Tribolium castaneum: one gene and its partners. The main gene of each other region encodes a partner of the protein of the gene in region 2 in a complex. Links are inferred from orthologs where the notes say so. Each region holds a gene or a part of one and is shown on either strand. Other genes may lie near its edges. The genes, in order: Pp4-19C, serine/threonine-protein phosphatase 4 regulatory subunit 1 and serine/threonine-protein phosphatase 4 regulatory subunit 4.

Region 1 (3,748 bases), on a different chromosome or scaffold from region 2:
GCAACTTATCGTTACCCCAGTCCTAAATAACACGGACAATTTATGATTTTTTTGGGGGTTTTGGGGTTAACTTACAATGTGGAGCCTCTCGTCGGTCATGGTTGACGCAATTCATGCACTAGAAGCCCACGAAGGGTTGAATTGATAAAAGGGATGTTTTTAAGGGCTTATGCACCGGATTTTTGGTAAAAAAAGCACGAAAAAACGAAAATATTTGGGCTTGATGATGCCGCGACTGTCAAAATCAAGCGTCCCGATGGTACGAAGTCGTGTAGACGCGAATTGTTCCAAAATAAAAATTATAAAACCAATGAGAGACAGATAAGTAAATAGGAATAACAACTGTTTGATTTGGATTACGAATTGAGCTTCAGAAATTTTGTAATTTGTGGTTGACACAAATGCTTGGGGTGTCTTGTTACAAAGAATTACTGCTTCATGGAAAATGATTTTTTATGACTGGAGGCTTCAAATTTCGATTTTGAAACATAAAACTTAAGAAACCTTCAATTCAAAGCTTAATTATACGTTTTAAGGCTTTTTTGCTTAGCTATCACACACGCGATGGGTACGGTTTTGAATTAGCCGTCCCAAAATGGCTGCCAGTGCCGCCATTATTTTTTTAATTTGCAATATCTTTGAAATAAAACTCAAATTTTACAAAAAAATGTATTTTGGCAGTCTGCAAATGGTACAATACATGGTTTTAAATAAATAAATTCACTATAAGTACAGTTTTAGAATTTCGAAGTCAATAGAGGGATAAATCGACAACTGGAACAAAAACTGTCTTAAACATAATTGAAGACCATGAAAAAATACGTAACTACAACTGATGAATTAATTATGAATTAACAGATGACCAAGAGTATAATATGTATATTACAATTATAAAAGAACAACTAAACTATTACAGAAAATAATCAGCTTGTGGTTTTTTCGATGGCACGCCTCGAGTTTCCTGAGGCGCCGCTTCAAAAATCGTAAAATCACGTTGCAGATGCTCGTTCAGTTCCAAAATTGCGGCAACGTTGCCACACCTGCAAACACAAAAAATAACCGAAATTTACCAAATGCCCAGTTTGGAAAAAAAAACTAGACGCCCTTTGTTGACGACATTTCGTCGAAAACAGTAACGAATTTAATGTATCGTTTAGTAAGTTTGTTTATCATGTGGTTTAATTTTTAAATAAGTAGGCTTGGTGGTGATGTGAAGCTTCTAGATCCAAATTCAAATAAACCTCCAAAATCTAGTAGGTTTAAAAACAAAATTGTTGGCGTTTTTTCCAAAGCATCCTTCGCAAAAATATTTTTTCTCCATTTTAACCAGCATTCGATCATATCATGTGATACATCGTTGCAATCAGAAATAAAAACACTTTTCGAAAATACAGACATAAGAAAAACGAAAGCCTCCAAATTCGTACAATCATAATAAACATTTCCCGACATTTGAAGTTACTGTTTTCAACCTAGCTCAGTGGCGCTCCCAGTGGTAATTTTACCTGTAGCAATAATTTGGAGCTGACCACACTGTCAGCACAGTCTCGTTAAAGTGCCACTTGTAGCCCTCCATGACCAGCTGATGCGCTCGACAGATCATGTCAATGTCGTTGGCGGCGTTAAACTGGGCCACGACGTCGGAACCGAACAGATAGCCCGCCCCTCGGGGCGACACGCCCCAACCTTGGGTATCTACAACATTGATTTTTCATGACTAACTCTGGACACAAATATAATTTTTCGGGGCCAACTTGGCCACCAATTTTTTTTTTCAATTTGGGAGCGACTCAAGGGGGCTATTAATTACCTTCAGGGTCGCTCCATAACAGGTCGCACATTGGTCCGTCGTGTGGTACTTCCTGTTTCCGGTCGATGACTCTGATTTGATCTAGGGTTTGGATGGAGGGCGACAGCCCCCCGTGAACACAGAAAATTTTGCCATCAATGATAGCCGAAAGTGAGAGGTAATCGAAAATTTCGGTGCAATACCGCCATACGGTTATGGAGCCGTATTTGCGTAAACACTCGTCGTAAAATCCGTAAACTTGGGTTATTTGACGCGACTCGTGATTGCCTCGTATTAAGGTGATGCGGTCGGGGTACCTAACCTAAAAAAATGATCGTAAATTTTTACTTGTTGCGTCACGTTTTCGGTACTACTTTTAAGGCTAGTAGCAGGAGGAACGTCTCAACACTGTAAAACCCACGATCGACAAAGTCCCCCATGAACAGGTAGTTCGTTTCGGGGACGTCGCCCCCCACTTTGAAGAGCTCCTTCAGGTCGTAAAACTGGCCGTGTATGTCGCCACAAACCTGAAGCAAGTCACAATGAACCAAACCGTGACCCCTTCCGGGGGCTGCGCTTACCGTAACCGGGGAATCAACCCTCTGAACATTGCTCTCTTCAACAAGAATTTCCCTAGCTTTCGCACACAGCGCCTTAACCTCGCATTCCTTGATCGTTTCGCACCTTTTCAACTGTTCGATTTGCCGGTCTAAATCGCTGGTATCGCCCATTGTGCCTGAAACACGGGCCCCCAAGCTCAAACGTCAAACGAAAACAAAAAGTAACAAGTTGAGGTTAGGTCACCCAAACTTAACCAAAAACCCCCAAAACTGAACCCAAACGATTGCGAAACGCTAATTACCCACAATTCTGGCGAAATTCCGTACCTTTTTCCAATAAAAGTTCGAAAAAGCCCCCACCAAAGCCACTAATCACAGCACCCCGATGCCCTAATCTCAGACATACGTCCGATTGGCTGACTCACAAATGTCAATTGAGCGGCGGCGTCGTGTCGCCACCGACGCTACTCTGCGCACGTTCTCAACCCTTATTTCGGCAGGAAAGCGACGGTGGACGGTTAAATTGGGGAGAAATTGCGTTTAGGGTTGTTTAAATAAAGTTGGTGCGCCTGCGTTAGGCAGTAGGTCGTAGTATGATTACGGCTTAAAAAATTAAAGCGGAGTTTTTTCATGTTTAACCTGAAATTTTAAGGGGGTTTTGTGGAGGGTTTGTGACTGTGTGTGTGGTGCCGAGGTGTTGGGAGACATGGGAAATATCCATACGGTGGGACCGAATGAAGCCCTCATTGTTTCAGGTAATTTTATTGGGGTAGCTTGGACAAGGGTGGCTGGGGCTGTACTACAGCGTTTGCGGGGTTTGGGGTACCTGCATGCAAAATCTGGGGTCTTTTGGGGTATTTTCAAGGTGAATCGTTAGTTGTTGATAAGAATAAATAGAATTCCCGACCATAAAAATAACTTTTTAATTGTAGTATTATTGATAGTGAGATACAAAAACTACGTTTCAATAATTAACGTCTCATCTTTACCGGTTTAGAGATTTATTAATAACTTGTTTTTTTAATATGACAAAAATGTGTTATTTTATTAATTAAGTATTATCAAAAGAAGATTTTTTCTTAGTCATAAATTGTTTTCAACAATTCCCGCTAATCATGTGTTTCATTTATTGCCTAACTGCAATAAAATTTAAGTGCTCTACTATTTGACCTTTGACATTTGTATTGTGTTTGGTTGGTGTGCCTGTTTGTTGTTGTTTTACAATGGGCGTACCTATCTGGAACAACCTTGCATATGTTTATTTACTGTTTACTGCAGTGGTATAACATGATCGTGATTGTAACTACTAGAATTAAAAAATAAAAGACAGTCTTCTGGTTACAATTTTTTTGAAAATTAATGGCCAAAAAGTCAGTCATTCCAGTCTTTTTTCCGTGGT
Region 2 (3,656 bases):
ATAGAGGATCTAATGTACATTCATCCAAAATGAAAATTACGCTGGCGTAAATCATCAGAGGTCGTAAACTACATAGTTTTGATTGAGAGAATTTTTTTTGGAAATTGTTGGATTAATGTTTAGATGAAAAAGAAACAAACAAAACAATTTCGGAATTCGTCACCGTTTCGTCAAGAGAATATAAAAAAAAATCTGCAAATTCTTCGACGATTTCTCGGCTTATTCTTGACAATTTTTGCGAAATAATTAGGTTTCTGCATTAAAAGCGTCTTAAATACGAAAAAATTACATTTTTTTGAGTTTTGGACCAATTATCTGACTTTTCGACTCGGTTTATTAGCGTAAGAAACTTAACAACGCATTTAATAAAACCTTAAAAAAGCATAAATGCGTTTTCGAATAAATCTTGTCACTTTTCACCTGATTTTTGACGAAATTTAGCTCAAAAAACAACGAAATCTAGTGAAACAAACAAAATAACATCAGTTTCATTTTGTTTTTATGATTTTGAAGCGCGTTTACAAAATAACCAAGTATTCAAGTCTGAAAACTGAAACTGAAATAAAATAAAATAAATATAAATTTCGATAAAATTTCAGTTTTAACAATTTTTTTCAAGAAAATTAGTGTTTTAACCACTGGAAAAACAGTTAATTTCGGACTAATTTTGTTGATTCCTCGTTTTAGTATGAATAGAATTTTGCGACCAAAAAATGAGTTTTCAATTAGTTTTAGCGACATCTCTAAACTTAAAAAGAACATTATTAGCAAATATTACGATTTTTCGGCATATTTTGACGAAATTTCGCCCAAACCCGATTAATGTTATAAAATTGAATAAAAAAAGAAAACAACAATACCAACAACTCCTTAACGTTGGTAAAATAATTAAAACAAAGGCAGCTTTTCAATTAAAGAAATTCATTATATCTTTACAAATTCCAAATTCTAGGTAATTCAACCGTCTTTCTGTTGTCCGAAAAAATAGAAAAATAAATGAAAAACCAAATCTCTCACACGTGCAATCGTGGTATGGTTTTGTAATTCAAAACTGACGAATTCGTTTCATCCGAATTTCTAAGAATTCCTTGAACTTATATCCATTTTTTTTAATTTTTTCTTCGCAACTAGAACAAAATTCTACAAAAGCGAATAGTTTGTTAACATTTTACTTTTCTTTATAGCTATCAAACAGTAAAATAAAATTTCGATCAAATTCGATGTGTTTTTATGTAATTGTAGGTACGTAATTTTTTTTAATTGTCTAAAATAACAACCATGTTAGTGAATAGTTGAGTGACTTTTCGCTGTTTAAATTCGAAATTTCGAGTAATAATTGCATTTCCGTGCTTACAAACAAAAAGTAAAATAAGCTTGTATAAAAATTCGTAATTTTTCTGTTTCTTCTAGGAAAATATTAGACTTAAAACTCACAAACGCGCTTAAAAAAGGCACAAAAAAAGCTGAAATGCTAACATTACTTTTGACCAAAATTTATTGTAAAGTGTTCAAAAATTGAAAAAACGTAGAATTTACACAATTTTAGGTCTCATACGAGTGAAATTATTGTTTATTTTAGACAAAATATTGAGAGTATTCCTTTTTTCTTGTTGAAACATTCGGAAAAAAGTGATTATACACTCTGTTGCCCACAAGAAACCTTGCGACATTGACAATGAAAATATGCCGTTTTATACAAAATAAAAGCACACAAATGGTCAATAATGCTTAGGACGCCTAATGAATTTTAATTTCGAATAAAATATTCAAGTGCAAGTTCCCATAAATCTTAATAAACCATATTACAGATAAAAACATTATCAAAATTATATGCACGCTTCTAGAGTATCTAATAATTAGGTTTTTGAACTACTATAACGCAAACACGTGGTTTTAAAATTTAAAATACAAGTACTCTCCATAAATACTGTATCGCTGTGAGAGCACTTCCCAGAAACGAAAAAAAATTAGATATGCATCGGCAGGAAATACCAAGATATAATTTTAATCTAGGCAAGTTTTCTTCTACTTCAATTTCAAAACAACCACTAATAATAATTTTTTGCCGCCCGAATGATTCATCCAACTAAACCATCACATGGAAAATTTACCCATTGATATCAGATAATAACCCCCACACACGAAAGTAAATTATATTCTTATACATATTATAGGCACTTCCAAGGCTAGTAAAAAATGTGACGCATTTTATACGGAATTATGACTACCTGCTGCCGGCAACAACCGAAGAACGACATTCTCTACCATTCAAACACGTCATTAAAACTTGTAACAAAACTTACCATCTTTCTCACCCAGCGATCGAACGATGGTCATAATACTCGGAAGTTCTTCGGCTAAAATTTCCGGAGGTGATGTACGAAACAAATCTTGAACAATTCGGGCAACCATTTTACTGCAAACAAACACATTTTCGTTAAGAAAAAAAACCACAACCACGTGGCGTACACTAAGACGCATCACAAAGAATTGGCGGGAAATCATCCCAAACAACTAAACATCCTAGTCAGCGTGGTGATGCGCGCGCACTGGATGCTTACCAAAGCGCGAATTATAATTTTTCAAAAATTGTATTTCAAAAAATCCATTTTTTCAATTGTAATAAAACAAAACATAATATATGTAATGCGAGAAATATCCAATAAGGTCGAGTCATTCACACATACACACGTTTTAATGCTGATACGTAATTGCGATATCCGACTACAAACCGGTGATCAGCGAAAGCGGAGTTGGCGGTGTCCGTCTCTATTGGTCGCGAAGTCTCCGCCCCGCGGAAACAAGCCTAAGATGGCCGACCGTGGACCTGAGGATAATGTAATCTACGTCGCAAATTTTATATTTGGAAATTTCGCGAAAAAATACTTTATTGTCAACTTTTTTCAAAGAAACTTTTTCTTTAACCAACAATACAATAAACGACGAGGTTATTTTTTTCTTTTTCAGTTTAAACGTATGGTATATAACTTTTGAAAAATACACAAAATAGCAAAATGTCCTTTATTCACTCCAAAAAAATCACATTTTAAACTTGCAAAAATTATTACGTGTTAAAAAGGCAGGTTTTTACATTTGAGCAACAAACTTAATGCTAATTTTTAGTTTTCAAGCTCATTTGTTGCGACAAATCACAAAACTTTTTAATTTTTACTTGTTTTTGTCAATTGTCTTTTTTGTTTACAAAGACATTTGAAATTTATGTAGGTATATAAATTTTAATAAAAGGTTGACTAAAGTTTGACACAAAATTGTAATGTTCAATAATCAAATGATAATTTAAGAGGGTAATGTTGCTGCCCAGAGAGTTGCTGACTTGTAACTTAAATGTAACTTGTAAAATAATATAATTTTTAATAATGATTTAATACAAGACACGTTTAAAAATGGGTGAATTTGGCAGATAACTGACGGTTATTGCCGTAATTATGCAAAAGATAATTTTAATAAAATGTTTGTAGCGTTCATGACCACGTTTTAACAAATTTAGACACAAAATAAAATTAGTAAAACTGGCTGTATCTTTTTCACCAACAAAGATGTAAAATAAAACAAAAAGAAAAAAACACAAATGACACTACTAGTTTACCTTTCGCTGATGTTTGTAAAATATTTTTTTCGTTATTCCAAAAATTAAT
Region 3 (3,512 bases), about 23 Mb from region 2:
TAAACCGTAATACCATGTGATTATTTGAATTTATAATTAAAGTAGGCGGTTTTGTGTCTTGTCTACAAGACAATTGCATTGTCTACAACTTTTGTCTGACCTATTTTAATGATAACATTTACCGTTTATGCGAAAAATTGCAAAAACCGAAACTTTTGACTTTAACCTTGAATATTTTTTTTGCACACATGGGATCGATTGGGACTTTTGATATGTTATTTGTAATAGTGTCCTAAAGACCTGTAGAAATTTTCAGCTCTATGCGAATTTTTGCAACTTGCCACTATTTTGATGTCTTTTTAACTGGGTTAATGTGTATTTAGGACGTAACTGATGATGTAGAAGGGGCAATGAAGGCTGGTATCAGGGGATTTTTGGTGCAAACAGGAAAGTATCAACCAGGTGACGAGAAGAAAATTTCCACGCCACCAGATGCCGTCGTGCCTAGTTTTGTTGAAGCAGTAGAAAAAATATTACAGGAAATTAATAAATGAATACCTCGGTATGTTAAGATAATATTTATTAAAATTGTTATAGAAAAACGTACAAAATAGACTTTCTGACAAAGTGTAACAAAATAAATTATTTGCTCTTGATCTCGGACTGTGTTTTCCTGAAACAGAAACATAAATTAAACACATCTCCACTATTTTTATTAAAGCAGTGATAATAAACACACCATAAACTTTCCCACATTTATTTGTTGTTTTATGGTTTTTATCGAGAATGAAATTTAAATGTTTCCCAAAGCGAACTAAAATTTCGTTATAGCGTAGGTTTTCGATATCTCAAGTTCAAGTCTTAAGCATGATAATCACTAAATAAAAAAGTATACGGAGACATTGAAAACATGATGTTTGTTTACTTCTTTTTACTTTCAAGTCAACCAAATGCAATTTCTCTTCTTATTTTCATTTATCTTCTGTTTTTTCAACTTAAAATGCGAATGGGCAAAAAATGATTAAACCAGATGTAGTAATTTTAAAAACGTCCCTTTAACCAAACTGATTACACAAGATAAAACCGAAAACATTTTTTCATGGTAGGATTTTTTTTTATAACAGTTGTCTTCAACTATTCCACTTGAAAAATTCTTTAATATTTCGCGATTTTTCTAACGTACACAGTTAAAATTATTCTAAAAATAGCATCTGTTCTAGTCATCACCTAAATTTGGATGAATGGATAAAAGGTAAGAACAAGAGAAGACGAAAGTTGAAGAAATTGTCTAAAAATAAGATAAAAATGAAGGACTATAAAAACGAATGTATAAAAAGAAAAGGTTCGATTAAGAAAAGAGGAGGAAATTAAAATGAAACAAAGAAATTTGTAGCCGATATCCTAAAAAAAGAATCTAACAAAAAATAAAATAAAGAATTGTAAAATATTACAAATATATTAACAGATATATTGCTAATGCATTACTCAAAGATATTGTAAGATACGTATGACTACTCCAATATTTTTATTGGCATATCAAAAATGTTTACGTGAAATAGAAAAAAGATAGCCTGTGCCCACTGGTATTATTAAATTCGGTTGGAAGAAGATATACAAGAAAAGGAAAAAATACTTAAAAAAATAAATATACTCTTTATAAAGTGGCGCCCAACGTGGGGCCTGGGGCAGTTGTTGCTGATGTTTGCAGTTTGTCAACTCACATTCTGTGCCCTGAGTTGTTGAACAAACGTGTGTATTCAAAAAAAACAAAGAAATGATTTGATCACCAAAAAAGGGGAAATTGGGTTGTTAAAAGAGAAAACCAAAACTGAAAAAAGGAAAATAAGGAACAGATTTTTGGAGAAAAAGAAGAAATTTTGCAGTAAAACGATTTTGAAAATAAAAGAAAAAACAAGTCAATTTCAAAGATTTTTCTGAAGTTGCTTGTCAGTCGAATCTTTAAATATGTTCTCTAAATACAAGTATAACGATACATGTTAATTTTTTATGTATCTAGTGTAAACCAAAATTGAAAAAGAAAAAGAAGGAATTTTAAAGTAGCAACAGATTTTTGGAGAAAAACAAGAAATTTTGAAGTAAAAAATCTTTATATTTTTCTTTACTAAATACGTGTATCATAATACATTTTAATTTTTTATGGATGTATCGATTAAAATTGCATAATGCAGATTAAACTTTCATGAATATGTTTATTTTTTTTAATTGTATTTTAGTTAAAAGTCATTTCTAATTAGAATTATTACAATTATAACTGTAAAAAACTCGTACTCCCATAAAGAGTATTTAAAATGTACCTCCAAGGCATATTTTTATCATAAATAGAAAGTTAGTACCATACTTTTACACAAGACCACATATTTTTACTGTCAGGTAAAGAATCGTTAGTACAAATAATAGTATATCAGTATATCACATAATATACGAAGCACTGACTAGTCAGGGAAATATTAATTTTTATGCCGGTTTCTAAAAAAAATATAATTCTAAACAAAAAAAAGAGAGAACATAGCAGAATGCGACTCTGTTGATGGAACTTTTATGGGCAATGAGTAGGTGTTCCTGACAGTTATACTATAAGCTATTAAAATGAGGTACATTTACATCATTATTTTATTAATTATACATACAAATACTTGTTAAAAAAGTAAACAAGATTAGTTTTTGGGATGTTTAGTTTAACTGAACTTTAACGTTTTTTTTTTGCAAATTATCAACCAATTCATCTACTTAAAATAAGCATGCACAAAAAGCTAAATCTACTAGTACTTACTTTTTCAACACTGGCAATCCTGATGTTTTTCCTTTGTTAATACTACTTATTGGCACATTATTTTTACTAATACTGGAAGTTATTGCACTATCGTCCTTTTGTTTGTCAAGACGTGTTAAAATTTCAGATTTAGGCCTGATTTTACTTTGAGTGGCTTCATTCGGTTTATGTTTCACCTTTCCCGAGGTTCTATTCGCTTTATCGCCATCTCCACATTCAAAAACATGCTCTATATCAGCATTACTGTGTGATTTTTTCACACAAACTGGAATTTTACTTAAATCACCAGCACCTATATTCAGGCTTCTTCTATTCAATGTTGTTTTAGATGTTGAGGAATCGGCTGGGAACACACTCGAATATCTTTTGTATTTCAAGCAGATATCTTTTGGTGGACTTAGAAGTGATTTGCGATTTGTACTTTTCTTACTTCTCTTTCTCAAGTTCACTTTAACATCGTCTGTAATATTGGTGGTTGATGTTTCCAGTTTTTTCAATTCACTTTCAGACATTGCTTCAATGTTAACATTTTCGACAGAGACAGTCGGTATTACGTTCGGATCTTCCGAATATAAATTCAATTGTTGATCGAAATCTGTCACAACTTTGCGTATTTCCATATCTATAGGTTGTTCGATACGCGGTAAGCTTACGCCAGCATCAATGTAAAAATGCTGTTCTAAGAAGCTCATATCGCTACAATGGTTCTAAAATAAGCAACTACTGGAAAAAAAATTGGTTGCAATAAATACCTTGCAGCCGTATTTGAACCCGAACCTGC

The links.
Region 1: serine/threonine-protein phosphatase 4 regulatory subunit 1 (region 2) and Pp4-19C share a complex: the UniProt entries of both Homo sapiens proteins name them as parts of the PP4 complex. The link is inferred for Tribolium castaneum from reciprocal best matches to the Homo sapiens genes PPP4R1 and PPP4C.
Region 3: serine/threonine-protein phosphatase 4 regulatory subunit 1 (region 2) and serine/threonine-protein phosphatase 4 regulatory subunit 4 share a complex: the UniProt entries of both Homo sapiens proteins name them as parts of the PP4 complex. The link is inferred for Tribolium castaneum from reciprocal best matches to the Homo sapiens genes PPP4R1 and PPP4R4.

What each region holds. Positions count from the first base shown.
Region 1 is NC_087401.1:11,679,098-11,682,845, forward strand, and holds Pp4-19C (serine/threonine-protein phosphatase 4 catalytic subunit), read right to left. Parts: upstream 2,831-3,748; 5' UTR 2,677-2,830; exon of another isoform or gene 2,652-2,676; intron 2,526-2,651; 5' UTR 2,521-2,525; coding exon 2,371-2,520; intron 2,317-2,370; coding exon 2,164-2,316; intron 2,112-2,163; coding exon 1,811-2,111; intron 1,696-1,810; coding exon 1,506-1,695; intron 1,041-1,505; coding exon 911-1,040; 3' UTR 656-910; downstream 1-655. Other genes in the region: protein suppressor of forked, read right to left, coding at 1-22, 76-99; Flo2 (flotillin-2), read left to right, coding at 3,056-3,104. UniProt on the Homo sapiens protein: Protein phosphatase that is involved in many processes such as microtubule organization at centrosomes, maturation of spliceosomal snRNPs, apoptosis, DNA repair, tumor necrosis factor (TNF)-alpha signaling, activation of c-Jun N-terminal kinase MAPK8, regulation of histone acetylation, DNA damage checkpoint signaling, NF-kappa-B activation and cell migration.
Region 2 is NC_087394.1:36,828,187-36,831,842, forward strand, and holds part of serine/threonine-protein phosphatase 4 regulatory subunit 1, read right to left. Parts: intron 2,417-3,656; coding exon 2,304-2,416; intron 1-2,303. UniProt on the Homo sapiens protein: Regulatory subunit of serine/threonine-protein phosphatase 4. May play a role in regulation of cell division in renal glomeruli. The PPP4C-PPP4R1 PP4 complex may play a role in dephosphorylation and regulation of HDAC3.
Region 3 is NC_087394.1:13,857,975-13,861,486, reverse strand, and holds the end of serine/threonine-protein phosphatase 4 regulatory subunit 4, read right to left. Parts: coding exon 3,484-3,512; intron 3,428-3,483; coding exon 2,732-3,427; intron 614-2,731; coding exon 583-613; 3' UTR 504-582; downstream 1-503. Other genes in the region: haloacid dehalogenase-like hydrolase domain-containing protein 2, read left to right, coding at 324-494. UniProt on the Homo sapiens protein: Putative regulatory subunit of serine/threonine-protein phosphatase 4.